Linked DNA regions of Coturnix japonica. The protein of the gene in region 1 purifies or fractionates together with the protein of each later gene. This does not show direct contact. Links are inferred from orthologs where the notes say so. Each region holds a gene or a part of one and is shown in the gene's direction. Other genes may lie near its edges. The genes, in order: CTNNB1, CTNNA3, CAV1, HDAC7, SMARCA5, TOP2A and TRRAP.

What was found.
Region 2: the proteins of CTNNB1 (region 1) and CTNNA3 purify together in Homo sapiens (affinity purification with mass spectrometry; 4 studies listed by BioGRID and IntAct, counting the BioPlex papers as one, with this or other methods). This does not show direct contact. The link is inferred for Coturnix japonica from reciprocal best matches to the Homo sapiens genes CTNNB1 and CTNNA3.
Region 3: the proteins of CTNNB1 (region 1) and CAV1 purify together in Homo sapiens (affinity purification with western blotting; 3 studies listed by BioGRID and IntAct, with this or other methods). This does not show direct contact. The link is inferred for Coturnix japonica from reciprocal best matches to the Homo sapiens genes CTNNB1 and CAV1.
Region 4: the proteins of CTNNB1 (region 1) and HDAC7 purify together in Homo sapiens (affinity purification with western blotting; 5 studies listed by BioGRID, with this or other methods). This does not show direct contact. The link is inferred for Coturnix japonica from reciprocal best matches to the Homo sapiens genes CTNNB1 and HDAC7.
Region 5: the proteins of CTNNB1 (region 1) and SMARCA5 purify together in Homo sapiens (affinity purification with mass spectrometry, with the first as the bait; 3 studies listed by BioGRID). This does not show direct contact. The link is inferred for Coturnix japonica from reciprocal best matches to the Homo sapiens genes CTNNB1 and SMARCA5.
Region 6: the proteins of CTNNB1 (region 1) and TOP2A purify together in Homo sapiens (affinity purification with mass spectrometry; 3 studies listed by BioGRID and IntAct, with this or other methods). This does not show direct contact. The link is inferred for Coturnix japonica from reciprocal best matches to the Homo sapiens genes CTNNB1 and TOP2A.
Region 7: the proteins of CTNNB1 (region 1) and TRRAP purify together in Homo sapiens (affinity purification with mass spectrometry; 3 studies listed by BioGRID, with this or other methods). This does not show direct contact. The link is inferred for Coturnix japonica from reciprocal best matches to the Homo sapiens genes CTNNB1 and TRRAP.

The regions. Positions count from the first base shown.
Region 1 is NC_029517.1:39,909,125-39,913,359, forward strand, and holds the start of CTNNB1 (catenin beta-1), read left to right. Parts: upstream 1-1,400; 5' UTR 1,401-1,671; exon of another isoform or gene 1,672-1,690; intron 1,691-2,399; exon of another isoform or gene 2,400-2,549; intron 2,550-4,235. UniProt on the Homo sapiens protein: Key downstream component of the canonical Wnt signaling pathway.
Region 2 is NC_029521.1:8,411,070-8,414,833, reverse strand, and holds part of CTNNA3 (catenin alpha-3), read left to right. Parts: intron 1-962; coding exon 963-1,069; intron 1,070-3,764. UniProt on the Homo sapiens protein: May be involved in formation of stretch-resistant cell-cell adhesion complexes.
Region 3 is NC_029516.1:22,486,085-22,489,848, reverse strand, and holds the end of CAV1 (caveolin-1), read left to right. Parts: intron 1-1,418; coding exon 1,419-1,760; 3' UTR 1,761-3,757; downstream 3,758-3,764. UniProt on the Homo sapiens protein: May act as a scaffolding protein within caveolar membranes. Forms a stable heterooligomeric complex with CAV2 that targets to lipid rafts and drives caveolae formation. Mediates the recruitment of CAVIN proteins (CAVIN1/2/3/4) to the caveolae.
Region 4 is NC_029544.1:454,499-458,262, forward strand, and holds part of HDAC7 (histone deacetylase 7), read left to right. Parts: intron 1-379; coding exon 380-500; intron 501-595; coding exon 596-645; intron 646-1,878; coding exon 1,879-1,986; intron 1,987-2,101; coding exon 2,102-2,157; intron 2,158-2,378; coding exon 2,379-2,466; intron 2,467-2,745; coding exon 2,746-2,865; intron 2,866-3,184; coding exon 3,185-3,282; intron 3,283-3,375; coding exon 3,376-3,494; intron 3,495-3,661; coding exon 3,662-3,764. UniProt on the Homo sapiens protein: Responsible for the deacetylation of lysine residues on the N-terminal part of the core histones (H2A, H2B, H3 and H4).
Region 5 is NC_029519.1:26,885,018-26,888,781, forward strand, and holds part of SMARCA5 (SWI/SNF-related matrix-associated actin-dependent regulator of chromatin subfamily A member 5), read left to right. Parts: intron 1-51; coding exon 52-204; intron 205-1,600; coding exon 1,601-1,733; intron 1,734-2,404; coding exon 2,405-2,553; intron 2,554-2,791; coding exon 2,792-2,911; intron 2,912-3,158; coding exon 3,159-3,269; intron 3,270-3,764. UniProt on the Homo sapiens protein: ATPase that possesses intrinsic ATP-dependent nucleosome-remodeling activity.
Region 6 is NC_029542.1:4,104,518-4,108,885, reverse strand, and holds the start of TOP2A (DNA topoisomerase 2-alpha), read left to right. Parts: upstream 1-1,394; 5' UTR 1,395-1,409; coding exon 1,410-1,706; intron 1,707-1,780; coding exon 1,781-1,927; intron 1,928-3,010; coding exon 3,011-3,101; intron 3,102-3,377; coding exon 3,378-3,441; intron 3,442-3,894; coding exon 3,895-4,040; intron 4,041-4,286; coding exon 4,287-4,368. Other genes in the region: collagen alpha-1(III) chain-like, read left to right, coding at 1-76, 243-355, 430-640. UniProt on the Homo sapiens protein: Key decatenating enzyme that alters DNA topology by binding to two double-stranded DNA molecules, generating a double-stranded break in one of the strands, passing the intact strand through the broken strand, and religating the broken strand.
Region 7 is NC_029529.1:1,465,275-1,469,038, forward strand, and holds the end of TRRAP (transformation/transcription domain-associated protein), read left to right. Parts: intron 1-87; coding exon 88-291; intron 292-1,116; coding exon 1,117-1,311; intron 1,312-2,424; coding exon 2,425-2,709; 3' UTR 2,710-3,695; downstream 3,696-3,764. UniProt on the Homo sapiens protein: Adapter protein, which is found in various multiprotein chromatin complexes with histone acetyltransferase activity (HAT), which gives a specific tag for epigenetic transcription activation.

The DNA.
Region 1 (4,235 bases):
AACTGGAGTCAAACTTCAGGAGTCAAGAACACCACGGTCCTTCTGCCCATTGCTGCACACTTCCATGGCATGCAGCACCACTCGATAATTCCCCTGGAAGGTGACCAACCTTCACAGCCTGCTGGCCCTGCACTGCCAGCGTTGGCTTTGCCAGCTCTTGCCGCCTCGTTGCCCTCATTCTTACCCTCCTTTTGGCCTGTGGAGCCAAAACAGGCAACCGTCCTGAGAGAAAACACTGCAACAAATGAAGCTGGATGCCTTGGACCTCCAACTTCAAGGCTGTTCACCTCTTACAGCGGGAACCTACGGGTGCCCAGAGGCTGGTAGGGGGACACTGCTGCAAGCCCTACAACATAACAGGAAGGAATCAAAGATGATTATTATTAGAGTAACTACTTCGAGAGCCATTTTAATGGGACAAGCCTCCCTGCCCTGTACGGGGTGCGGCCCCACAGGGATGGGAAGGGTGCCCGGGCCGCCTGGGAGGTTGGGGCGTGTCCTGTGTACAGCAAACCCTCCTTATTTTTTATTTTCACCACAAGGAAGAATCCCATTTGAAAAAAAAAAAATAAAAAAAAAATAAAAGCATCGACGGGAGCAAGTTGACGTGCAAATCGCTGTAGAAAAGGCTTTTTTTCTTTCTTTCTTTTATTTTTAGTCTGTGTATTACTGAATACAACGAGAGGAAAAAGAAATACGAGCAGCAAACTCATATCCCCGCTCTCACCGTCCCGCAGCCCGCGCTGAGGCGCCGAGGCAGGGCCGCGCCCCGCGGGGCCGCGCACGCTGAGAGGAGGCAGCCCCGGTGGTGAGGAGCGGGTCCGGGGCTGCTCGCTTCTTTCGTGAAACACCAATAAATCGCACAACGAGACACTTGTCTTTAACAGCCGCTTCCTGGAGAAAAACGCGAGGCGCGTTTTCGCCGACGCCAGCGGAGCCAGCCCGCCCCCCCCCCCATCCGCCACCCAAGCTAGGCTGTGTGAATCGGGGGCGTGCGTTGCGAAACGTGCTTAAAACCCAGAAAAAAAAAATATATATATATATATATATATGTATATATATACTGAAAATAGTCTTCTCCGTACAAACAGACGGTGCAGGGACGCAGCCTCCAGGCTGATCCCCGCGGCCGCACCCCTCAAGCACAACTTCACTCGCTCGCTCCCTTCTCCCCCACCTCCGGAGCTCAGCGTCCCAACCACCACCGCCCGCCCCCTCCCTCCTTCCCTCCCCCTCGCTCCCTCCCTCCCTCAGGCGGCTCCTGCTGCCGCCTCGGCCTCCTCCGTCTCCCTCCGCCCTGGGAGCCGGGCACTATTTCTCCTCCCCCTGCCCTGTGCGCTGGGTGCCTGTGGAATGCTGCGCGCTGGGCCCGGCCGCGGCGGCAGGATACAGCCAGCCCAGCGCTCGCTATAAGAGCCTGCTTGTGAGCGCCGCCATTTTAAGCCTCTCTCCCGGTTCGGCGCTGGGAGCAGCAAGCAGCGGCGCTCGGGGACTACCGCCGCCGCCTCGCACGGTTGCTATACGGGAGGCAGCGGCGGGGGACGCAGCTGGGAGAGAGCTGAGCCAGAAGGAGGGCGGCACGAGGAAGGAGAGACGGATCCGGCCGGGATCGCCCGGGCGGCAGCAGCAGCCGGAGCCCGAGGGGACGCTACGCTCTCGCCTCCGTGCCACGTTAGTGCCGCTTCATCCGGTGGGATCTCGGGGCGAGCCCTTCCCTCAGCGGGGAGAGGGAACGGGGGGGGGTCCGGGCTTCGGATGGGAGGGTGGGGGGCTTCGGGAGGGGGGGCGGAAGGGGTCGGGACAGCTGCGGGAGGCGGCAACTGCGGCCCCCGGGGCCTCTCGGGAAGCGCGTCCCGGGCAGCGGGGCGAGGCTCGGCGGGCATGGGGCTTCTTGGGAGGGTTTTTCGGTTCTCGGGGGGTCACCGAGCCGCCGTCGTGGTGGTGGCGGGGTGAGGGGCGGAGAGCAGTGGGTTTGTTCGTGTAATTAACTAATCACGGCCGCTGCAGTGTGCGGGAGATAGCTGATCTGATGCCGCGTGGGTTTTCGGTCTTATTTGCGTGCCTGTGATTGCTGGAGGGCTTACGCTGTTCATGGGGGTCCGCGAAGTGCGGTCGTAGCGTCAATTTGAGACACCCTGTAGCCCATCTGGGGACCGCGGTTCCCCCCAGCTAAGGCGCTTCGAAACAACTTGGCAGTCGCTCCCAGCTATGTTTGGGGCACTTATTTCCGGCTCCCCGTGAAACGGGAGACCCAGGTGTGTCCATTCCTGAAAAGCCATCTTTTGTGCACGGTCCTGGGGCAAGTTTCTCCCAAAACTCCCCAAATCTTCGGTTATCCTCTAGCTGAAACTCGCAGCAGGACGTCGTGCAGTCGATTGGATTCTCTTTTCCCAGAAGAGATACCACCGGTAGAGGTTACTGGGAAGGGAGGACAGGCTGTGAAGGTACCGCGGGCGGGTTGTGAATTGGAGAGCAGCGGTGTTGATCTTTGCGGTCGGCTTTTACTTCTTGATCTCTTTCTCGTGGAGCGGCCATTGTTCTGACACTCGGTACGTTCCAGACATCTGTGGTCCTCCCATCCCCCAAAGTATGCAGTGGTGAATGGAAAGAGGCCGGGCTGGTATGCTGAGGTCGGGGGAAGGAAATCAAGGAGGGGTTTTAGTAAAACAGGATCTTTGTGTGCTCGGAATAGGGCAAGGGCAGGCTAGGAAACTACCTGGACGTGTCACTATTTCCTTCATTCTGAGTTCAGAATTAGGGGAGATAAACTCTTCCTTTAACAAATTTGCTTCTGAATGTTAGTAATGTCCTCCTGCAAGCCTTTAAAACTGCAGTGAGCGTGAAGCTCATTGCTGTTTGTTAAGTTATAACGTGAATTTCAGGAACTGACAATGCAGGAATCTAATGTTAATCTTGCACCCTTTATAAAAGGTGCTGACAGCTGCCTTTATCTGTGTGTTGCAGAATGGTTGGTACTGCTGGAAATGAGCTGCTGAAGTGTTCAGGAAAAGTCTTAAACCTCTCTAAATTCAGCCACTGCAAGAAGAATTGGATCGAGTGCTGGGTTCTTCTGGAGCCCTAAGGAAATATCACTGTTCTGTGGCTATTAGTTCATACATCTGTTTAGTTACAAACTGATAGACATGAGAACGTTCATGTTGATCTGTTTGACTGTTTCATTTCAGAGTGTGGGGAAGAAATCAATAAAAACACCCTGATGAAAGGACAAAGCAGGAGAGCTTCTAAAAACAAGGATTTGCTTTAAAGTCAATCCATTTTTCAAATGTAGCCTTCTGTTACATCTCCTGCAACCCAGGCTTCCTGTTCTTACCAAAGCAATAAATGGGCTGGGCTGCTTGCCTGATCCATTCTCATGAATGCTTGCATGTTGCTGTGACTGCCTGGTGTGTCAGTAACCAGCTTATCAAATCTCAGTCCTGAAACCTCGCTGCCCTTCAGAGATGAGGCTTTCTTTGTGTGGTGAATGTTGGTTTTCGTGACTTTAAACTAACAGAAGCTTGTGTTTAGTCTTTCAGAGCGCAGTGCTTAAGTGAATTCTTTTGTAAAGGAGAAAAGTCGGTTTTGGTGGCCTTCTAAATGACTCTTGGAGTAGAGAGGCACATAGCAAGAAGGGAGCAGGAAAGAGCAATTGTAATCATCTGTCTTTGTGAATGGGAGTCTGATGGTGCTGTCTGAAACTTACGGCTAAAGATGTTTCTGTGGAATACTGTCTGGTAGGCAGATTAGTGTGCAAACACAGCAGTAAGCAGAATCGCTCCTGTTAACTCAGTTAAAGCTGGTAACACAGGGCTGGCGGTGATGATGGCAGCAAAACTTGTTCTGTAACTCTGGCAGACTACGTACTGCGGCAGGAAAATCAGGACCGACCTTACTTATCTTAAACATCATATACTTCATAGGGCCTGATAAGATTTGGTGAGAAACTATGCAGGCAGCTGGGGCTTGTGCACGACTCCTCAAGCATGTGCCTGCAAATCCTGAGCCTCCTGCCTTTCTGGGTGGCTCTGCAGGAGCTCCGGCTTAGCCGTGGCACCGTGCTAATTCTGCAGACTGCGTGGCACTGAGTATTGCATGCGATTTCCTTGTCTGTTCAGGCAAAGTGACTCCTGGTAAAAGAGGGCAGGGCACTATTGCTGGCTGACTTTTTGGTTAAGCATTAGAAGGCTTGTTTTGGGGGTGCTTTGTTGTGTGACGTATCCACTGCATTGGTTAGA
Region 2 (3,764 bases), on another chromosome or scaffold:
AATAAGTCCTGCTCAAAAACAGACAGATATCCATTACTTTTGTGTTTGAAGTCTTTACTGGATAAAAAAGCTTTGCTGAATTATGTTTTACAGGAAGCTGAGTTACTGGAAAATTTCAAGTGTCTTTTATTTTGGAGCAATAATTATTTGCTTTCCTACTTAAAACACAGTTGTAATTCTCTGCTGGTGCACACTCATTACACTGCAGCCTGAACCGGGACCCGGTGAACTCAGTGAAAACCCTTAAATTAATGCCTGTGAACTTTGGATCCAGCTCCTAATGAATGACTCATTCACTTTAAAGATCTTCCTTAGCTTTAATTCCATCTTACTGTCTTCAGTTATAGGTTTTCTTAATTTAATCTGTCTCAACACTTAGAAAACGTTTGCTACTGCAGGGCATAAAATAACTAAATGTTTCACATTCTCATGCTGTTAATTATCAGGACTTTTAGGAGCTTCTATATACATTTTTGTTCTCAAACTGTTTATTATGCTTTAACGTGCAAGTAAGATATAGGTCTTATGCACATAACATCAGTGTTTTTCTTCTGTGATGCATTCAGTAATGCAGTTTTTCAATAGATTTAGTAACGAAATACATACTTCTTTAAAAGCTCAATTTTATTGACTAGTACAGAATTTATACTTAATGGATTTTTCATACAATTATCCTTGTGCTTTTTTAAAATACACAGTCAAACTAGAAATCTTGAAGAGAAGACATTTATATGCATCTGAAATCTATTATTTCACAGTTTATGTGGGTATCTGTATATATTTTCACAATTTAGAAGCAAGGAATCATAATAATTAATCTTATCTCTTCAAATCCTAATCCTTTTGTGGAATCAAGCCTGTACTCCAGGAAGTGGTTTCTGGACACAGACAGATTGCAATGGGCTCTCATGGTTAATAACTGCACAACAAAATTATTTTTTATCTTTTTGCCTTGTTCCTAGGTGAAATGCCAACCAAAGTACCAAACATTAAACTGAAAATTGATCCTCAGGATCTGCAGATCCAGACCTTTACAGTGGAGAAATTACTGGAACCACTTATAATTCAGGTATTTTAACATTACAGAAAAGAAGTTAGACATACAGAGAAGTGAATGAGGTTGAAGAATATAGACTAAGAACACTGTTGTGTAAAGCATTCCCATGACTCTTCTGTAACTGGCTTGGAAACTGGGCATTGTTATGCAATTCCCTATTTTTATTTAGTTAATTGCATGTACCACAAGGTTCTCCGTCTACCTGCGTCCTTCAGCCTTGTCAAGATGATGACTAGAGGATTGCAGGACTGTCAGCATTGTTGCATCTCCCTCTTGGCATCCCAAGCAGTGACTAAGGTGGTATGTTAGAATATTGCTGTGCAGGGCTCTGCAGAGAGAGGAACTCACAGGTAGAAAGTGGCATAACTGTGTTAATCTGACTAGCATTATACTTCCATACTTACTCTCATGGCTATGTACTGCTAGTTGCACTAGGTCTTCAGAGTAATGGAAAAAAATTTCTTTAATCCTTCTCAACCCCCTGCCATCATGCAAACAAACACTATAAGGGATTGTCTTTGTCCATGGTGTTTATTTTATTCCATGTGTTTTGGGAAAAGTATGTCTGAATGGAAGGCTTTTAGGTACAATTCCATATCATATTTTATTTCACCTTCAGAGACCAAAGCTTGTTGAATTTTGTTGCTAATATAAATAAGGATAACATTTGAGACTAGATTAGGTTTGCTTCTGTAGTGTTGGTGCAGGCAGCTCAACACCTCACAGCTGCTCACCCACTGTTCCCAAATGGGATGAGGGAGAGAATCCTAAAGTTGAAAGAGAGAGAAATCATGGATTGAAATAAAGTTTATTTGCTAGGTGATGCAAATACTTCCCGAGCAAGTGAAGCAAAACAAGGATTTGTTCATTAATTCCCATCAAGAGGCAGATATTCAGCCACTTTTAAGACAGAAGAGACACATAACAATTTAATTTTTTCTTTGGAAGGCAAATGCCAACATTCTGAGTGTCCTCCACTTCCTCTTCCTTTACCTCAGTTTTTATTGGTAGGCATGACACCGCATCATATGGGGCATTCCTTTGGCCAGCTGGGGTCAGTTGTCCTGACTGCGTCCCTTTCTTAGCTTCTTGTGTGCTCTGAGCTTGTCTTTGGCAGGGCAGCTTGAGAAGCAGAAATGTCTTTGGCTCTGTGTATGCACTGATCTGCAACAACTAATACAGTCAAGGTGTTATTACTATTATTTGATAAAAAATCCAAAGCACAGCATGGTACAAGCCTCTAGGCATAAAGTTAACTCTACCTCACCTATGACAAATAACAAAGTAGTGCTAGACATTGTCTCTTTTGAATTTAATTAAAAATTAGGAAATATGTGGCTGGATGAGATTTATGTCACTTCATTGATTCATGAAGGAAACACTACATAACTGCTTTCACCCTGTGATCTGTGCAAGTCCTATAAGATGCAGATTAGCTACTTGTTTGGAGACTTTGTCTGAAATTCTGTCTCTTTATTTGTATGTATACACACACTTAATATGTGCTATGTGTGTACATGTATACTTCTCAAATATTTCAAAGAGTTTTTCCTTACCAAGCACATTTTCTTCCGTATGTTTATATTCTTTGCACACACACAGGCTATGGAAATTTTATGGCTGTGAGAGAGAGGTAATTTTTACAGAATACTTACAAATGCATGTGTTTTAGGATTTCATGTATTATATTACTGATGAAAAATAAGGAAGTAGAAAGGCTTTTATTTATTGCCATGTCACCCACACTGACAAAACTTTGTTCACATAGAAATGATTCAGTGCTGTTTTTAGTTCTGTATGGTGAATTTACTCTATGCACAGTGCAACTGATTAAGCAGTATTTATGCTTATGGGCAACACTTTGTTATTCCCAAACATCTGACTCAGACAAGGGCTGGCTAGCATTTGAAACGGTGAGGAGGTACTTCTGCTATTGTCATTAGATTGCTGGCTTCATATATTGTTTCTTCAAATGTTCAGGGATTAGAGTTACTTAACTAAATGCTTTTCAACACTTATAAGCTATTTTGTGGTTGATGCTTTTAATTTTTTTGTTATAATAATAATAAAGAAAATCTTTTGGTACTAAAGGTATGAAAATACTGTTTTCTTTAACTACAGTAATGCTAATAGGTTGTCTTTTAAAGACTGAATTGGTTCTGAATATAGCATTAGAAGAATTACTGCACAGTGCCCTAGGATTTCAGTATTTGTGAATCGTGACAAAAACAAAAAACAGAGCAATTCTACAAGCTTAATAAATAATGGTAATAACTGACAACAACAGATGTGCTGCTGTGATGGCATATGGACTTGAAAATCTCACTTTAAAATCTTTGGTCTTATAGTAATTCTCCTCCAAACATCTTAAGTGTTGTAAAATATGGTATTGATTTCCACTGAATGCTGGGAGATAGCAATATCATATATGGCAATAAGGATGTATGGCAACATAAAACTAACTGAAATGCAATTAGGCATGAGCTAGATTAATGGGGTATGTTTCTCCCTTGTTTGTTTATTTATTTATTTTATTATTCTGAGCCTTATAATGCTGTCATTTTAACTGTGTATTCTGTCACTGTTGTGCAACCTGTATTGACAGTGGATCAAAAAAGCATGCTATGTTTGCTGCTGCTTAATTCAATTTTTTTGTGTAGAATCATCAGTATGGTTTTATATTCCTCATTGGGATTTTGTGTTTGAA
Region 3 (3,764 bases), on another chromosome or scaffold:
TCTTTGTAGCCCTCCTCTGGACCCTCTCCAACAGCTCCCTAACAAAGAACTCAGTTGAATTCACGTGAAGACTCAATGAGAGAAAGGGAGAAGGTTTTTTGTCAACTTCAGTCTGTATTTTAATCGAGCTTTTTTTGAGCCTTTTCCTACAGCATAGGTGATACACTGAGTATATTCACATTCATGTCCTTCCAGCGTGCTAAGGACCTGTTGCCTGACTTTCTGAGACCTCTGGCCCATATCTTCCCTTATGGCAGCAGTATCATTGGACACTGGGATTCAGTCCCAGGAATGCATTTTCTTTTTTTCTTCCATCTAAGTTAAACAACCATTTCATTTCTTAGAGAGATATAATTTGATGGCGTTCTTTTTCCTGTTGTATGCAGCACCTATGCAATCTGTTGCGCTGCCTAAATTAAATATCCTGTATGGTGGGTTATATCAAACACATTTGTGTGACATGGAGCTGAACTATCATAGTAATTCTGTTAATTTTCTAATAGAAATGTTATGACAATTAGGCTTCCTGAAAAGCTCAATATTTCAACAGAGAATGGTAAAATATGCATGCTGGAATGTACTGCTTCCTTAGATGACTCTGTGAACAGTTTATGAATAATATTCAAAACTATAAAATATGTGGAAGAGTGTGTTCCTTCTAAATATTAACACGTTATCCTGACTATGTCTTCCACTAACAGTGTTATCACGTAAACAGAGCAGGTTAGAACAAAATGGCTCTCGTGTGAAAAGCCTTCTTACGCTTAATAAAATTGAAAGACTCCCTCACTCTTTTACAATAAAGATAAGTTCCATCTTAGGCAGTTCTAAATCCAGCACTTTGTTTTTCAGCCAATCAACAGCTATCTATGCCTATTTCAAAGTATATTTAGATGCCCTCAACATTTGTTCACTGTCAAAATTCAGCAATACTATATAAGGGAAGGTGGAAAAAGTCAAACAAATAAAACACATTTTATTGATGTGTTAAATGTCAAAGCAGTGTCTGCACTTGTTCCATTTATAAAGATGTGAGATGGTGAAAAGCTAGACAATGAAAATACAATGTTTCTATCACCTTTTCATGTCTTAAGTAGAATTAAGGGCATTCCTTACCCTTAAGGCTGCAGGAGAGGAGGACAAAATATTCAGTTCTTTGGATAGCTCTTCTCCATCTAAAAGTTAGATGTGTATCATTGAGCTAATCATTAAGTATCACCTATAGTCAGTGGGGAAAAAAAAAAAGACAAGTCTTGCTCATGGCTTAGGTGATATTTTAAAATGGGTTAATTCATATTGGGATGTAAGAAGCTTCAATGTTTGTTACAGGCGATCATTGCTTTTGAGGAAGGGGCTTTCTGGGCTCCACACTTGATGAGGATGTTTGACTGACCTGATTTTTGTGTTCTTTGCTGCAGATTGATTTTGAAGATGTGATTGCTGAGCCAGAAGGAACACACAGCTTTGATGGGATTTGGAAGGCCAGTTTTACCACTTTCACTGTAACAAAATACTGGTTTTATCGCTTGCTGTCAGCAATCTTTGGCATTCCCATGGCACTCATCTGGGGCATCTACTTTGCTATCTTGTCATTCCTGCACATCTGGGCGGTGGTGCCGTGCATCAGGAGCTACCTGATTGAGATCCAGTGCATTAGCCGTGTCTATTCTATCTGCATCCACACATTCTGCGACCCACTGTTTGAGGCTATGGGCAAGGTGTTCAGCAGCATCCGAGCCACAGTACAGAAAGACATTTGAGGGACATTTCAAAAAGCCTGGAGAAGGGGTGGGAGATTTGTGTTGTTTGGGGTGTTTTGGTGCCAGTTTCACGTTTCCCAAAGCAACATACAGCAACTGGTGGATATACTGGCCCAAAACAAAAAATCACTTGCTCAATATCCTTTTTTACTATGTATTCATACTGGACTACTTGCCTATTGTGTTTTCTCTTTTCAGTCTGTATTTCAAACTAACCTTAAATAGCTATTCCTCCATGACAGCTGCATATCATTTTGCTGGCTGTTCAATTCAGAGTCTGAAATGTTGTTGGATGCCTTTTTGTCTCACTGTTCATTCCTTGTAAGATAAATCCACAGAGTTACCAAAGAATGACAAAAAAGCTTTCCAACGCTGTAATGCCATTCATTTTATTGTGGCCAAAGAGTGTAGAGCTGCTGCAGCAGAATAAACATGACAAGCTGGCAGGTTTTAGCAGAATGTTCTTTTTCAATTGTGTAGTCAGTTGACTACAGCGATTTGCAATCATGGTCAGGTGTGATGTACTATGAATACATTGGATAAGTAAACAATTTACTTAATTAATGAATGTCCTGAAAAACTAACATTTCATCAGGTTGGAGACACTGACATGTGAAAGCTTTGCTCATCCATAAAAAGGCTTCTGTTAGTGCCTTTGTATCTCATTCTTACTTGGAAGTTTGCAGCCAGTTGTAGCTCAACCTTCACTAAATTGTAGAAGAAAAGTGAAGTTGAAAACTAAAACTGGTCATTATGGAAACGTTTTCCTGACTGTGACTTATGACACATCCTTTAGCTGTTTTAGGTGTTTATCTCGTGGGCTTCATTTATTTTTTTTCCAGAGTATTCATATAAAAGCATGCCAGAGATAACCCTGAGTTACAAGAAACACGAAGGTGTGCCAAACACAAGCCACAAAATGCCAAGGAGGGGCTGCCTCTAAAGGAAACTTTCCAATGAGCTTTAAAAAACTTTCCTATCAGCAGAAGTCAGCATGCCGCGAGCACACATTATTTTCAGATGAACTGACGCTTTGCTGAATCTAAATTAATCCATCATGAGAGACGGTTTAGAAACTTCACATTGTGGATTAGTCTGTTTTTAGCTGTGCTGCAACATCAGGAAGTCTTAAATGGAGGGTGTTGTGTCAAGCTAGCCTATGTAGCAAGGTTAAAGGCCTACAAGGCAAAGTCCTTGCGACGCTTTCTGATGCTGTGACCTACAGGAGCTTTTTGCCCTCATGATAGTACTGTGTTGAGAGATACAGCCCGTATCCTCATGTGGTTTGCATGAAGCTTTTGTAAAAAGAGTTGTGAGGCTGATCTGCTTTATTGTAACCAGCCTGAGGCCTGAGCCTGCTCTGGTTGGCATCTACTGCAAACCAGTCTTTGACCTCCAAGAGAACAGGGCTTGGCCCTTGGAATTGAGCACGGAGCTGTCTGGTACACCTGCAGCTTTTTTATCTAGCGCTGATATTTCACCTACTGCTTTGCTTAACACGGGAGTGCCTTCAGTTGCATTTCTGCCAAAGCATTGAAAACTTTAGGAAATGCTGCATTTTTTTTAATGGGGCCGGGAGGGAGGAAGAGAGGGAGGGAAGAGGGGAAAAGGTGCACAAAAAGTTACAAAGCTATTAACTACTATTGTTTGCATTAAAAACAGACACTGGTATGGATATAGTTTTATGTTTTTCTATGTACATAATGGAGAGTGTACTATTATAGATTTTTTTTTTCTGTACTGAAACCAAGTAAAATTTTAAAGAAGATATATTTTATCTTTTTATGAGGAAGATCATTCAGAAGAAAACTTTCCTGATTTACCATATAAACTGTATATCCTGAAAGCTGTCTGTTCACTTAGACATATTAGTCCCTAATCCAATACATTGCTGATCCAAGACATTTACATTGTTGTTATATGCTTACAGATATAACGGACACTTTTTTAATTCTGCATGTGCATTAATTAATACAATAAAACAATGTTTAATGGTAGCTGCTG
Region 4 (3,764 bases), on another chromosome or scaffold:
GAGCAGGGGAGGGGGGTGCCCAACTTCCACTCCTTTTGTTCCCAGATCTTCCCAGCCTGTTTTCCACCACTATCCAATAACAAAGAGGTCTTGGGAAGGGGGTTTACATTTGGCTGTTGCTGACACTGGTGTGACCATGGCCATGAGTTTGCTGTGCTGGAAGATGGGCACAATCCCTGCTGAGATAGGACTGAGGTGTTTTGCCAGCTTGGGGAACGTCAGTGTCAGCTCTTATCTATTAATCCTGATTTAGTAGGACTGACTTTGGGCCATAGAGGGTTCTACAACTGTAGGAAAACAGTCTGTCTATGGCTTATCTGGGGAGGGGAACACATGTCCCATCCTGGGGTGGTTCAGTCATAGCCCCTGTGCCCTGCAGTGTCTGCGGGGACGCAAGGCCACCCTGGAGGAGCTGCAGTGTGTCCACACCGAGCGCCACGTCTTCCTCTATGGCACCAATCCCCTCAACCGCCTGAAACTGGACAATGGGAAGCTGGCAGGTGAGCCCCCATCTGCCCTCCTGTGCTGTCCCTGTGCTGTGTGCCCTTATCCCTGGTTCCCATGGCTCTGAATCCTCCTTGTCTCCTCCTTGCAGGGATTCTGTCACAGCGGATGTTCGTCATGCTGCCCTGTGGAGGGGTGGGGGTAAGTGCTCCTTCTTTGCTCAGGGTGTTTTTTGGATGGGCTTGTTTTATTTCTTCTGGCCCCACTGAGTGGCCTGAGTGGGGAGGGAGCTCCCAAAGCCATTGGGCTGCTCTCAGCCCCCACCCCTGTGTGTCTGTGGGTTGTCCCAAGGGAGCTCAGAGCCTTGAGGGTAGAATCTGGTCTGTGGCCTCCTACAGACTCAGCCCAAGCAACAACAGCCTGCATATGGACACAGAAAATTGTCCCAGCCTCCCTCAAATGGGAGCAGGACATCATTGTAGCATGGCTTCCCACTATCCTTGGGAGCATCCTGCCCTTGAATCAGACCTTTGCAGACCCTTCCTCCAGGGAACCCTGCTACCACAAACCCCTTGCAGCCACATCTGAGAGCCAGGGGCTTTAGGAGGGAGCAGATTTATGGGACAGATGGGACCTCAGCTGTGTGCACAGCATCCCACATCCCAGTGGGATGGCCGGGGTGCAGCATGGGCTTCCACCAGGGTCATGGACAGTGGCATGGGGACAGCAGCTTTCCACTTCTCTCCAGACATTTCTGTGGCCTCTCCTCTCAGAGCTTGCTGCCCTGGTTTCTCTCCATTCATTGCATTCTCCTCTCTTCCTCTCTCCCCGTCTGTCCTTTTCTTTCTCTCTCTTTCAGGAAGGGTCTCACTCCATGCCTTCCTGCTGCCTCTTCTGGTTCTTCTCCTCTCCTTGCCCCTGCTGCTGGGCACCAGCTCTTCTCAGCCTCGTTTACATCCACTTTCCCTGCTCTGCCTCCCCCCTTGCCTTCCTATTGCCCTGCCCGAAGGCAGGGGCCTGGAGCTGCCCCCTCGGGGGGCAAAGGGGGAGCATTTGAATTGCACACATGGAGTTGATCAGAAGAGACTTGAGTTTTCCGGCTCTGGCTCAGCCCTTGACGTGATCCTGATCAAACCAAGATGTTTGGTTAAACAATAAAATAAGATAAAGAAGGTAACGAGCGTTTTCTCAGTCACTCCTTCTAGATCCTGGGTACAGGGTGAGGTGCTCCATGTGCAGAGCTTTCCCTGGGGGTCAGGGTGAGGAGCCATTACCCTGACTGCTGTCCCCAGGTGGACACTGTGGAGCCAAGGATCTTGCCCCATGGTTTGCAGGGTGGCTTCATCCTCTGAGCAGGGTGGCTGGCACAGAGTGTGGGTTCTCCTGCTGATGTGCCCTATCCCCATCTCTATCTGACTGTTCCCTTGCTTGCAGGTGGACAGTGATACCATCTGGAATGAGCTGCACTCCTCCAATGCAGCCCGCTGGGCCGCAGGCAGCGTCACCGAGTTGGCCTTCAAAGTGGCCAGTAGGGAGCTGAAGGTAAGGAGAGGGACAGTGGGGCCTGGAGGTCCCACCAGTATGGCACGGAATGTCCCTGCAGCAGGAATGGCTTGCTGGGGTGTTTGATCTCCTCATGGATTTTTTTTGTCCCCAGAATGGTTTTGCTGTGGTGAGGCCGCCCGGACATCACGCGGATCCATCCACTGCCATGTAAGGGCCCCTTCCCAGATGGGTGTTGTAGTGGAAGCCCCAGAATCTAGGTCAATACAGGGTCCCCCCAGGGGGTGATAACACTAATTGTTCCCTGTTAACAGCCCCAGGACCCTTCTGTACTCAGACTAAGTGGGGAGGGGAGGCAGAGCCCATCCTTTGGTGAGGGATGGGTGCTCAGGGGATCCTGGTTCTGAGCAGCTCCACCTGCCTCATTGCAGGGGGTTCTGCTTCTTCAACTCGGTGGCCATTGCTGCCAGGCAGCTGCAGCAGAAAGGGAAACTCAGCAAGATCCTCATTGTGGACTGGGTAAGTTGTTCCTGTCCCCTAGAAGGTTCTTGTGCCTTCCCAGGACATCCCAGCTCTGATTTGGGGTTAGACCTGAGGGTAGAGAATCCTAATTGGGGTCTGGCTTCAGGAACGTGGCTGGGATCTCCCTGACATGTCAGGGTGGGGGAACTGGGACCAGATCTGAGACAGGGGAGTCTGAAGCAGGGCAGGGATCTAGGTGCTTTTAGCTCCATTGAGCTGCAGGGCAGTTTCAAGTGCACAAAAAGGGGCCCTCACATCATCCATATCTCTCTGTAGGATGTTCACCACGGCAATGGGACCCAGCAGATCTTCTACAGAGACCCCGACGTTCTCTACATCTCTTTGCATCGTCACGACGATGGAAACTTCTTCCCTGGCAGCGGGGCTGCTGATGAGGTATGAAATGAACAGACAGGCCCCAAGATCCACACAGCTCCGCTTTGGGGCAGCCCCTTGGTTCAGTCCTACAAGTGAGAGACCCCAGGGTGTCCATCCCCTCCACCCTCAGGTGGACGTCTCCATGGAAGCTGATCTCCATTGCTTTGCCTTAATGCAGAGTTGGGGTTTCCTGTTCCCAGAGTGCAGGACATGGTGAAGCATGGGACTGCTTACTGATGGTTATGAGGATGGAGGGGATCTGACCCATGTATGGGTGGAGAAATGAATCCCTGCGGGCCACATCCAGCCCTTCACCATCATCCTTGCTCTCCCCCAGGTTGGTGCTGGCCCTGGTGAGGGATTTAATGTCAACGTAGCCTGGACTGGAGGCCTTGACCCCCCCATGGGTGACCCTGAGTATCTGGCTGCTTTCAGGTACTATTTTCTGCATTCCTCTGCATTTCCCCCATCTTCAGGCTAAGCCAACACTTAACCCCTCTTACTACTTGTTCTTTTTCACCCTGACAGGACGGTGGTGATGCCAATCGCACATGAATTCTCCCCCGATGTGGTGTTGGTGTCAGCTGGCTTCGATGCAGCTGATGGCCACCCACCACCCCTGGGTGGCTACAAAGTCTCTGCTAAATGTAAGGAAGTACAAGCAGCACTTTGAGCTCTTCCCATTGCTTGGCTGGGCTCTGGAGCTGGCAGCTCACAGGGACAGCTCAGAGTTATTCTGGCACAGCAGAGGGGGCTCTTTCCCTGCTGTATTGGGCAGGGAGGCTGATGTCTGCCCCTTGGATTTCCTGGGCAGGTTTTGGCTACCTGACCAAGCAGCTGATGAGCCTGGCTGGGGGCCGCGTCGTCCTGGCCCTTGAAGGAGGCCACGACCTCACTGCCATCTGTGATGCTTCTGA
Region 5 (3,764 bases), on another chromosome or scaffold:
AGCATTTATAAAACATTTAGTGCAACTGATGATAATGTTCTCTTTATTCAGGCTTCTATTAATGCGTATAATGAACCTGGTAGCTCAAAATTTGTCTTCATGTTGAGTACACGGGCAGGAGGTCTTGGAATCAATTTGGCTACTGCTGATGTTGTAATTCTGTATGATTCAGACTGGAATCCACAAGTAGATCTTCAGGCTATGGTAAGAACCCAGATACAAATGTTCTTTTTTCCTCATGTAACTTTCTTATAAATGTGTGTGTTATACAGTGGTGGCATTTTTAAGGTTGAAGTGATCTTTCTCCTGTTTTAGCATAGAAGTAGTATTTTGAAGACTTAGTATTCAGTTCCAGTGCAGCTTAGTCACATTTGGGCTATGCAGTGATTCAAGTGGGGGGAAGGGCCATGATACTCCTAGTAGTGTTTAAAAGTAAAGTAAAAGAGGACTGCTTTCACTAAAAACTAAACTAATGGCATGTCTTAATTTCCCAACTATAAACCGTCCTTCTCTGAGGAGTCAAGTTCAATGTACTTTCACTGTCTCCACTGAAACCTTAGAAAAGAGGTGAATAAAAACCTGAATTAGAGTTTTCAGAAATTGCTTCTGGCTGCTAATAAACGTGCAAGCTCCTGTTGGCAACCAACTTTAATTTGCTGTAATTTTCTTTGAAGTAAATTTTTATGCATCTCCGGACATTGACAAAGAATGTTCATGATGGCTAAAGAAAGAAAGTTGGTATTTAAAACCTACAAATGTTAATTGGCAAATGAAGTCTTTCAGTGACGATTGTATGTTCTCAAGTGTTCTAGCAAAAATAGTTTAAGAGAATGATGAAAACAATGCCTGAAAGCCAAAGTGATGTAGTTCAAATTACCACTAAAGGTGTATGTTTGGAATACTAATTCTTGTAGTGGTTAATGATTTGCCAGTCAGGTGAGGTTGCATTGTATTTTTTTATTCAAATACTCATAGAAGGACTGAATGGTTTTTAGAAAGGTAGCTCTTGGTCAGTACAGAGACAATTGCTAAGGTACTCTGGTTTTACAGGAGGTTGCTTAATGCCAGAAATATCCAATCTTCCCCTTTGGTATTTAACCAAAAGAACCCCGGGCTATTTTGAGGAAAATTGTGTTTACAGACTTCGTTATTATTGGGATTACTTTAAAAAAGAAAGAAAGAAAAAAAACAACACCAACTTGAAATGCAAAGAACAGTGTTGTCCAACCAAATGAGAGAGACAAGAGTACCCAAAGTAAGAGTCGAACCAGGACAGTGCGAGGGAAAGTATGTGCTTTTCTCTGCGGTAAGCTGAGATGGCCAGAGGCAGAGAGTGGCTGGGCTCCGCTCTGGAGACCCAGAACATGAACTCTTTAGCTGCCACGGTTCTGCATGATGTTCTAATGTGGAATGCTGATACCAAAAATCACAGAACCACAACACATGCTATCTTGGGTACTCATGCTACTTGGACTGCTATAAAGCTGCAACTAGCCTACACTATTCTGTGTTACAAACTAGTATATTGAAACTAACTAAATTGATGGTAATTATATATTTGGGTTAAAGCATTAAGTTTTTGTTATGTTATTTTGTGTAGGATCGAGCTCACAGAATTGGTCAAACAAAGACCGTAAGAGTGTTCAGATTTATCACAGACAATACAGTGGAAGAAAGGATAGTGGAGCGTGCAGAGATGAAGCTCCGCCTTGATTCCATAGTCATTCAGCAAGGCAAGTATATGGGGGCAATTAGTTAAGTTTGTACACAGGATGAGTTTTTTGTTTTGTTTGTTTTCAACAATTAAAGAAGTGAAATCAAGTGAATGTTAATGGGAATGTTGCTTTTGCCCCAGCTGTACTCTGAAGATGGAGTGCAAAGACCTGATCCATTTGAAAACTTACAACAGGGGTAGGCTTCTCCTCATTAACTTTTTGATTACTTGCCCAGAAATAAAGTGGATATAGACAGATGTCATTTTTTTAAATTATTCTGTTTAAGAAAATTAGTGTTGAAATGGAAGAAGTAAGACCTTGGTTTTATTTAATATGCAGGGAGAAGTGGTGAGGATATAACCTCATACATAGGCTATAATGGAAAGATTATTCAACAAGGTTTTGTCTTGAAATTGTAAAAAAAAAAAAAAAAAAAAAAAGACAAAACACCATCAACCAAAAAAAAACCATGCACCAGAACAGCCAAAATGGTTCAAATGCAACTAATGTACTGTGAAACAAAATGTATGTCATTCCTGGGTAGATTTTGCTGGCTTTTTATTTATTTATTTATTTTTCCCACATGGAATTTCCCTGCATGAGATGCATTTTCAATTTAAGGCTAAGGGAAGGGGGAAGTCTTCTATTGTTCCTCCTTATGTTGTTACCTTCCAATGCTTTTCTCTTAGGAAGACTGGTGGATCAAAATTTGAATAAACTTGGGAAGGATGAAATGCTGCAGATGATCAGACATGGAGCGACACACGTGTTTGCCTCCAAGGAGAGTGAGATTACAGATGAAGATATAGATCACATTTTGGAAAGAGGTGCAAAAAAGGTGAGATAAATGAAGTATTAAAAGCAAAGAAAGGCACTTCCCTGTAAACTTAGATGTTAGGCATATATTGCTGGCTGACAGCTTTATTATAAGCTGGAGAAAAATATGGTTGTTCTTAGAAGTTTTATATTGGTTTTTTTTTTTTTTTTTTTTCCTACTGTTGCAACTGAGTTTTTGTAACTTTTTGAAAGCACTTTTCTAAATTGTTAATATTCTTTTCTCTCTCCCCTGCCCCCAGACTGCAGAAATGAATGAAAAACTCTCTAAGATGGGTGAAAGTTCACTCAGGAATTTCACAATGGATACAGAATCCAGCGTATATAATTTTGAAGGGGAGGACTACAGAGAAAAACAGAAGGTAACCTTCATGTTTCCTTCGGAGGAAAGCAGTGATCTGCAAGATTGTGCCATACTTTAAAATGTGTTGGTTAAAATACAAGAGAACTACATAAACAACTTTGAATTTAAATTATTTAATAAAGTAGATGTGCTCTTCATTTTATATAAAATTAATAGCTGGACTGAATATTATATAGGACTTAGTCTTGATAATTCTTGGGGGTAGTAGGATTTTATTTATTTATTACTATTATTATTATTTACAGATGGCATTTACAGAGTGGATTGAGCCCCCTAAACGAGAAAGGAAAGCCAATTATGCTGTGGACGCTTACTTTAGAGAGGCTCTGCGAGTCAGTGAGCCAAAAGCTCCCAAGGTGAGTTGACTAATATTAAAAATAAATTGATCAGATAGATGTGGGAAGTTAAAGCTGAAAGCAAGAAATTGGCCTTAATTTATTAATATCACTCTGTTTGCTTTCATAAATTGGGGTGGCACTTAGAGGGTTAAATTTTAGAAAAATTCAAAGGATTTGAGAATTTTATATGGGGAAAGAGCAAGAGAGTGATGAAACCTGTAATGTAAGAGTTCAGGAGGGTGAAGACTTGACTTTGCTTTTTAAGTGGCAGTTGTTTTTCTTTACCTATGGACTGTATGCTTATTTGGTGCACGTGTGAGTCTTTTTCCACCAATCTCTTCCCCTGTCTTCTCTTGTCACCTTTTTACTTGCAGAAGTCCTCATGTTGTAGTGGACACTTGCATGGTGTTTTAATGTGACCTTCGTATAAGTAAAGACAGTATGTTTTGGCAAAAATAAAGGGTTTTTTTGCTCACAAACTAAGCTCAAATTCTGGCTGTGAACAGGAGACAA
Region 6 (4,368 bases), on another chromosome or scaffold:
CCTGTCGGCCCCCAGCCAGGACCTGGCCTCCATCGTCAAGAGGACGGACAGGACCCTCCCCATCGTCAACCTGAAGGCAGGGCTTTATCCCCCCAGCAAGCACGGGCTCCCCGTGTGTTTTCCTTGCACCGAGACGCACCCACAGCCATTGCAATGGGGACAGCGGGCTTTGAGGAACGCTTGTCCCCCCCCCAAAGCTCACTGCCCCCCCCCAAAGCTCATTGCCCCCCCCGTGTCCTTAGGGCCAGCTGCTGGCTCGCTCCTGGAGCTCCCTCCTGCAGAGCCCGGCTGGAGCCGCCCTGCGCAGCCCCATCTACACGTTCAATGGGCGCAACGTGCTGAGCGATGCCCTTTGGTGAGTCCCGGCCCACGAAGGGTGGGATGTCGGGGGGTCTCCCCGGGGCTCCCCGTCATCCCGTCTCCCCGCAGGCCCCGCAGGTTGGCGTGGCACGGATCCACGGGGCGGGGCGGCCATTCCCAGCGCCGGGACTGTCAGGGCTGGCGGAGCTCCGGCCCCGGGGAGGGTCTGGCGGCCCCGCTGGGTCCGGGCCGGCTGCTGGCCGGGCAGCGCCGAAACTGCTCCGAGGAGCTGGCGGTGCTGTGCGTGGAGGTCGCCTTCCCGTACCGACACATGTGGTGAGAGACCCCCGGAATTGGGGGGGGCTGCGGCTGGGAGCAGCGGGACACCGGACACCCCGTCCATCACGGAGCCCCCCCCCCCCCCCCCACACACACACAGCGCCCACGTTTCCTCGGATATAAATAAAGGATCAATCAAAGCTGCACATCGGGCGGTTACAACGCGCTGCTTCTATTTGTTGCGTTCGGGATGGCACCAAATGGAACCGAATGGAACCAAATGGAACCGAATGGAACCGCCGTGCGGGATGAACGGGATGGGCGGGATGGGCGGGCGGGGATGGGGCTGATATGGGGCAGGTATGGGGCTGATATGGAGTTGATACGGGGCAGATATGGGGCTGGGATGGGGCAGATATGGAGCTGATATGGGGCTGATATAGGGCTGATATGGGGCTGATATAGGGCTGATATGGAGCTGATATAGGGCTGGGATGGGGCTGATATAGGGCTGGGATGGGGCTGATATAGGGCTGATATGGGGCTGATATGGGGCTGATATAGGGCTGATATTGGGCTGATATAGGGCTGATATGGAGCTGATATGGGGCTGATATGGGGCTGATATGGGGTTGATATAGGGCTGATATGGGGCTGATATAGGGCTGGATATGGGGCTGGATATGGGGCTGGATATGGGGCTGGATATGGGGCTGGATATGGGGCTGGATATGGGGCTGGATATGGGGCTGGGATGCCGCCGTGGTGCTGAGGATGGTTTTGGGGGGGCACAGTCCCGCACTGCCCCGCACGCCGCCGCCCCCCAAACGATGTACTGCGTGCCTCGCAGCGCCCTCCTTCCTCGCTCCTCTATTGGTTACCAGACCTGCCCATCAAGCAGCCCCCTCTCCCGACTGTCTGGTTTTGAAAGAGCGGAGCGCACGGGAGGGCGGGCCGTACGTCCCTCCGCCCTTCAGCGATTGGCTGTTTTCAAGGGGCGGTGCGCTGTGATTGGCGGAGCGTTTCGGCGGGCTCGGCGGAGGTTTGAAACGCGCTGCGCCGTTACCGGCCGCCATCACTCCGCGCCCGCCGCCATGGAGCTCATGGACTCACCGGCGCCGCTCCGGGTACGTGAGGGACCGACCAGACCCTCCCTCCATCCCTCCCTCCCCACCCCGCTGAGCTCCGCTCTCTCCCGCAGCCCCTTCACGACAACGCCCGGCTGCCCAAGGCCGATGTGGCGCAGAAGCGGCTCTCGGTGGAGCGCATCTACCAGAAGAAGACGCAGCTGGAGCATATTCTGCTGCGGCCGGACACGTACATCGGGTCTGTGGAGACCGTCACGCAGGTGGGGAGACCTGTGATGTGTGATATATGTGTGATATATGTGTGATGTATGTGTGATGTATGTGTGATGTATGTGTGATGTATGTGTGATGTATGTGTGATACATGTGTGATACATGTGTGATACATGTGTGATATATGTGTGATGTGATATATGTGTGATACATGTGTGATACATGTGTGATACATGTGTGATACATGTGTGATACATGTGTGATGTATGTGTGATGTATGTGTGATGTATGTGTGATGTATGTGTGATGTATGTGTGATATATGTGAGATATATGTGTGATATATGTGAGATATATGTGTGATATATGTGTGATATATGTGTGATATATGTGCTGTGTGTGGTGTATGTAATGTATGTGGTGTGTATGTGGTATATGTGGTGTATGTAATGTATGTGGTATGTGACATGTATGTGACATGTATGTGACATGGGGTGTATGTGACATGTATGTGACATGGGGTGTATGTGGTGTATGTAATGTATGTGGTGTATGTAATGTATGTGGTATATATGATATATGTGCTATATGTGGTGTGTGTAATGTATGTGGTGTCTGTAATGTATGTGGTATATGTGATATATGTGGTATATGTGGCAAATATGGTATATGTGGTGTATGTGGTATATGTAATGTATGTGGTGTATGTAATGTATGTGGTATATATGATATATATGTGATATATGTGCTATACATGGTGTATGTGATGTATGTGGTATATGTAATGTATGTGGTATATGTGATATATGTGGTATGTATTATATATGTGGTGTATGTATTGTATGTGGTATGTATATGTGGTGTATGTAATGCATGTGGTATATATAATATATGATATATGTGCTATATGTGGTGTATGTGATGTATGTGGTATATATGATATATGTGCTATATGTGGTGTGTGTAATGTATGTGGTATATATGGTATATGTGGTGTATGTAATGTATGTGGCATGTGTGATATATGTGGTGTATGTGGTATATATGATATATGTGGTGTATGTGATATATGTGCTATATGTGCTATATGTGGTGTATGTGTGTGCTGTATGTGGCTCCTTCTTCATTGCAGCAAATGTGGGTGTTCGATGAGGACGTGGGCCTCAACTGCAGGGATGTGACCTTCGTGCCTGGCCTGTACAAGATCTTCGATGAGATCCTGGGTGAGTGCAGCCCAGCATTGTACCTGCCCTCCAAAGGACACGGCCGCTGTGTTACAGCCCGTTTAACCCTCAGTTCTGCTGTGGGTGCTGTTATTGTAGCGTCCTTCTTTGTAACCTGCCAAACATCTCCCTTCCAAAGAGTTAATTGGTGGTTTTGCATTGGATCTTTGCATTTGTTCTACTGAAAACCCCACCTGATTTAGCCCTTTCACTATGGTTTATGTCTATTGTCCCACTTGTGAATGCGCTCTAATAAAAGTCACCTTCCCCTTCCAGTCAACGCTGCAGACAACAAGCAGAGGGATAAAAGCATGTCCTGCATCAAAGTTACCATCGACCCGTGAGTGCTGCTTTTGTCCAATGCCTTCCCCCCTCAGCTGCTTCATTCTCTCACTCCCTCACTGCCCTGTTGGTGTATGTACATCATCCTGTTGATGTAGGTGCTGCAGAGCTCAGTGTCGAGGCCTATTCATGTTAAACCTACCGTGGCTCATGGGCTGTAACAGCCTCATTCCTTGTGTGCTTCCTCGTTCTGTTGCAGAGCACTGACTGCCAGGCTGTGGTTGCACTGAGCACACGCTTTCTGTGTGCTGCTCCATTGTATTGGTGCTCTGCAGGTCTGAAGCTGGAGGGCTTTTTGTAGACTTGCCCTCCCTCTGCTGGCTGCTGCCGCAGTTGCTGAACAGGAATCTGTCTGTAGATGAAATGGTGGCCTTCCTGTGGAGATCTTGTCTATTTGTTTCAGAGCTCAGTCATCTGCAGCCTTACAAATTATACTTTCCTCCTCCTCCAGAGAGAATAACACCATCAGTGTGTGGAACAATGGGAAGGGTATCCCAGTTGTTGAACACAAAGTAGAAAAAGTGTATGTTCCTGCTTTAATCTTTGGGCAGCTGCTGACATCCAGCAACTACGATGATGATGAGAAGAAAGTCACAGGTAGGGAACACTGCAGAGCGTGCAGATGTACCTGGGCAGCCTGACTGTGTGATCTGGGAACTGAAGTACCTATATGAGTAACTGGTGTTAATTAAATGCAGCTTTATAGTGGCTGCAGGGTTTGTGGGACAGTTTATTGTTAGTCATACTTGGTGCTGAAATGAATGAGCTCTTGTTGGTCTGGAGTTCTCTCTGGTGGTTTTGAGCAAAGGTAACAACTCAGACATGTTTTCTTCCTGAATCCAGGTGGGCGAAATGGTTATGGAGCCAAACTGTGCAACATATTCAGCACCAAATTTACCGTGGAGACTGCGTGTCGTGAATACAA
Region 7 (3,764 bases), on another chromosome or scaffold:
GTGAAGTCTGGTAGTTGCTTTGGGCATAATTGTTGCTAAAAATTGCACTAAAAATGATCTCTTTCAAATAACATTTTTCATGTTTAGGTTCTCAGAGATATACTTAAAGAAGTGCAGAGTAACATGGTGCCACGCAGTATGCTTAAGGAGTGGGCTTTACATACATTCCCCAATGCCACGGATTACTGGACCTTCCGAAAGATGTTCACTATTCAGTTAGCCCTGATTGGCTTTGCAGAATTTATCTTTCATTTAAACAGACTCAACCCTGAAATGCTGCAGATAGCTCAGGTATGCTTTGTTTTGTCCTAACTACACGCTGTCTTTTTTGATCAAATGGAAATTTCAGAGTTTGAATTGAGTCAAAAAGGGGATTTGCGATATATAATTGTGTTTCAGTAGGCTTTCATTTGATTATGTGATTGCACATCATGTAGGCAGTGATTTATACTGCAGACCCAGTTGCCATCAAGTCTTCCTTCTGTGGTTAGAATTTATTACGTAGTCTGTAAAGTTGGTTACAGATATCAGAACTGTTACTGCAAGTGACTGATCAGCCTCTCTTTAGTCTTGTTTTAAACATGTTGCTTTGGATAGACCTGTGTGCCAAACAGCTTAAAAAAAAAACAAAGCACAACACAACAAAATAAAACTTTTAAAAGCAAACCCTTTTTCAAATAATGGCCTCTTTTCTGCATTGACATCACGTCAAGCTACAACTCCTATTAGAAGTAAGTTCTCTGTTTTAACCCAATATTTAAAATGAGGAGTAGAGCAAAGGTGGTATATATTAAAGCCTTAATGGCATTTTAATGCATGGAGAGTTACGCTGTGTATGGCAGTGTAGATTTTTAATTCCCACTGTGCAGCTGTGCCATTCAGGTTCTTACCCAGTGAGCAGCACATAGAAAGTGCTTACCCAGAGCTGAGATGCCTGGAGAGTGAAGATCCATCTTTATGCCCAGCTCCTTTCAGACCCCTGCCAGAGGAGTATTGCTTCCCGAGGTTTAATACTACAATCTGTGTTCATTACAGCTTTTTGGACACTCACTGGTAAAAATTACTTCAGTCTGAACTTATTTACTCAAAAACTGTGCATTTTGGTTTTCCATCCAGGATACTGGCAAGCTAAATGTAGCATATTTCCGCTTTGACATTAATGATGCTACGGGAGATTTGGATGCCAATCGCCCGGTTCCATTCCGCCTCACACCAAACATCTCCGAGTTTCTTACCACCATTGGGGTGTCCGGCCCACTGACCGCCTCCATGATTGCAGTTGCTCGCTGCTTTGCACAGCCAAACTTTAAGGTTTGTATACCTTTCCAAAAGTTGTTTACGGGCACTTCATTTGCATTTATCATTTAGGATACGAGGAGCTAAACAGCATTTTCTTGCTTGAGATAGCAACTGAGCACCTCATATTTATGTTTTGAAGTCTTACCCCAAGGTCATCATAAAAGCAGCTGAAGACTTTGCCGTTTTGGAAAGAATAGGAGGAAGATAGGTGTAATTGTACCCTGAATTTCTTCTTTATTCTGTTGAAGTGTGTTAATTCAGGCTGATTGTTTCAGTGCTGTAGCCTCATAAATCCCTACACGTTCTGGCAGTAGTAAGTAGTGAAATGACAAATGCAACATCATTTAGAATCTTCATAATATGCTGTGAATAGAAATGTGTTTGGCCTTTGTTAGCAGAGCAGAATGCTCAAGATACATTGTTCCTTTGATGGATTCGAGCTCTTAGCAGGGTGTAGTTTTCTAAAGAAATTGTCTAACTTCCTTTTAAATTCTAATGCTTTCCAAAAATGAGGCATCATGCACTTAGGCTGCAATTTGCACCAGAACGGCACTGCACAGAGTGTACTGCAGCTACAGTGTGAGCAGTTACTTTGTAAAGGATGGAAAATATCCTAAAAGGATTTTTTTTTCCTTGTAATATGGAAAATTTAGATTTTTTTAAAAAATAATCCGTCACTTTGCCTTACAAAGCCATGTCTGTACATGCAAATGAGTTTGCTGACTTGGTGTGTAATCTGTGCATCCGGATGATGTCAACCCGATTAGACTTCTCATATTGAATTTACAAGACGAGAGCATGGGTGCCCATTTGTGCTTTTTGGAGTGATGGGTGCCCAGCTCATCTCAGGTGTGTGGTTACAGTCGTGTTAGCTTGTCTGAATTCTGGACACGAGAGGAATTCCTTTAACGTTTGATATGAAATGTATTTAATAAATGCGTGACCTGATATCTAGGTATGCTAAAACATGCTTATTTACTATATGCAAACAGAAGGTTTATCTCAGACTTGATACCAGAAAATCTTAGAAGCATGAGGAGACTAATATTTAGTTTAAAGTCTGCAGAGTAGAGCTCGTGCTTGCTGAGCTTAAACATAATAGTCTGATTTTTCTCTCTCATGTAGGTTGATGGGATCCTGAAAACTGTGCTGCGGGATGAAATAATTGCATGGCACAAGAAAACACAGGAGGATACCTCCTCCCCGCTCTCAGCAGCTGGACAGCCTGAAAACATGGACAGCCAGCAGCTGGTTTCACTCGTTCAGAAAGCTGTCACCGCTATCATGACTCGACTTCATAATCTTGCTCAGTTTGAAGGAGGAGAAAGCAAAGTGAACACGCTGGTAGCAGCTGCAAATAGCTTGGATAATCTCTGTCGGATGGATCCTGCCTGGCACCCCTGGCTGTAACTTGAAATTTGCAATAGCTTTTTATTGATGCTGCCGTCACTGGTGTGAGCCATATATTGTGCTAAGGAAATGTGAAAGAGAAATCAGACCTTGGCTTACCTGTCACACTGCATTTTGTCAGTCTTCGTTGGATTGTGTTTACAGAAATAGGACAGGTTTACTCCTTTTAATTTCATGAGGGTTTAAAATCCTGTTTAAAAAAAAATAAGGAAAAAGGAAAAGGTTGTTGAATTTGCAACAATGGCTTTTGCAAATAGCTTAAAATTAGGGAAGGAAACTTAAAAATACACAGAAAAAATCTTATTTTATGATGGGGACTGTAAAACTAGCACTGTTAGATTTCAGGTTTGCCATTCCTAATAACCTACAACATATAAAGTTTTTATACAGTAATAATTATTAAAGCGGACAGAATTCCCAGTTCATTGATTTTACTTTGTGAAATTTTACTTAATCACTGTTCCTTCATGATACCAAATGGAAGGCTCGAATAAATATTCTTCCTTGAATTTGCTTGAGAAATTCACGTGAGCAAATGTGGCTTGTACAGAGACTTTTGTACCGGATGTATAGACGCATCTTTTTGTTAGGCACTGAGAAAAGGATGGTGAGATTGTGCGAGGTTTTCTTGGAGCACAAGCTGTGTACAGAAGAAGTGTAATCCATTTAGGGCATTTGGTTCAGTTGTGGACAGTGTTGGGGGGAAAGCTTATAAAAAGCATGGGAGAAGTCATCTATTGATACACGTATTTGACTGCAATAGAGAAAGAAGATAAATCTTATAAAGTTATCTCTTTTTTAATGTTTAGAATTGCAATAGCTTCTTTAGAATGAATCAGTTTCTTTGTAATTTAAGAAGAGAGGAGTTTAATGTTTCACTCAAGTCCTTCTGTTGTGTGAGCATTTTTATAAGACCCCAGTGCTGAGGATGTTACATTTGTACAGAGTGATTTTTTCAAAATAAATATTTAAAAAAGAAAAACAAACCCTCTCTATGGCATTCATTGGGTAGTTTTAATATGGCAGAAGCTGAACAGACCAAGAGGCGAGTGTGA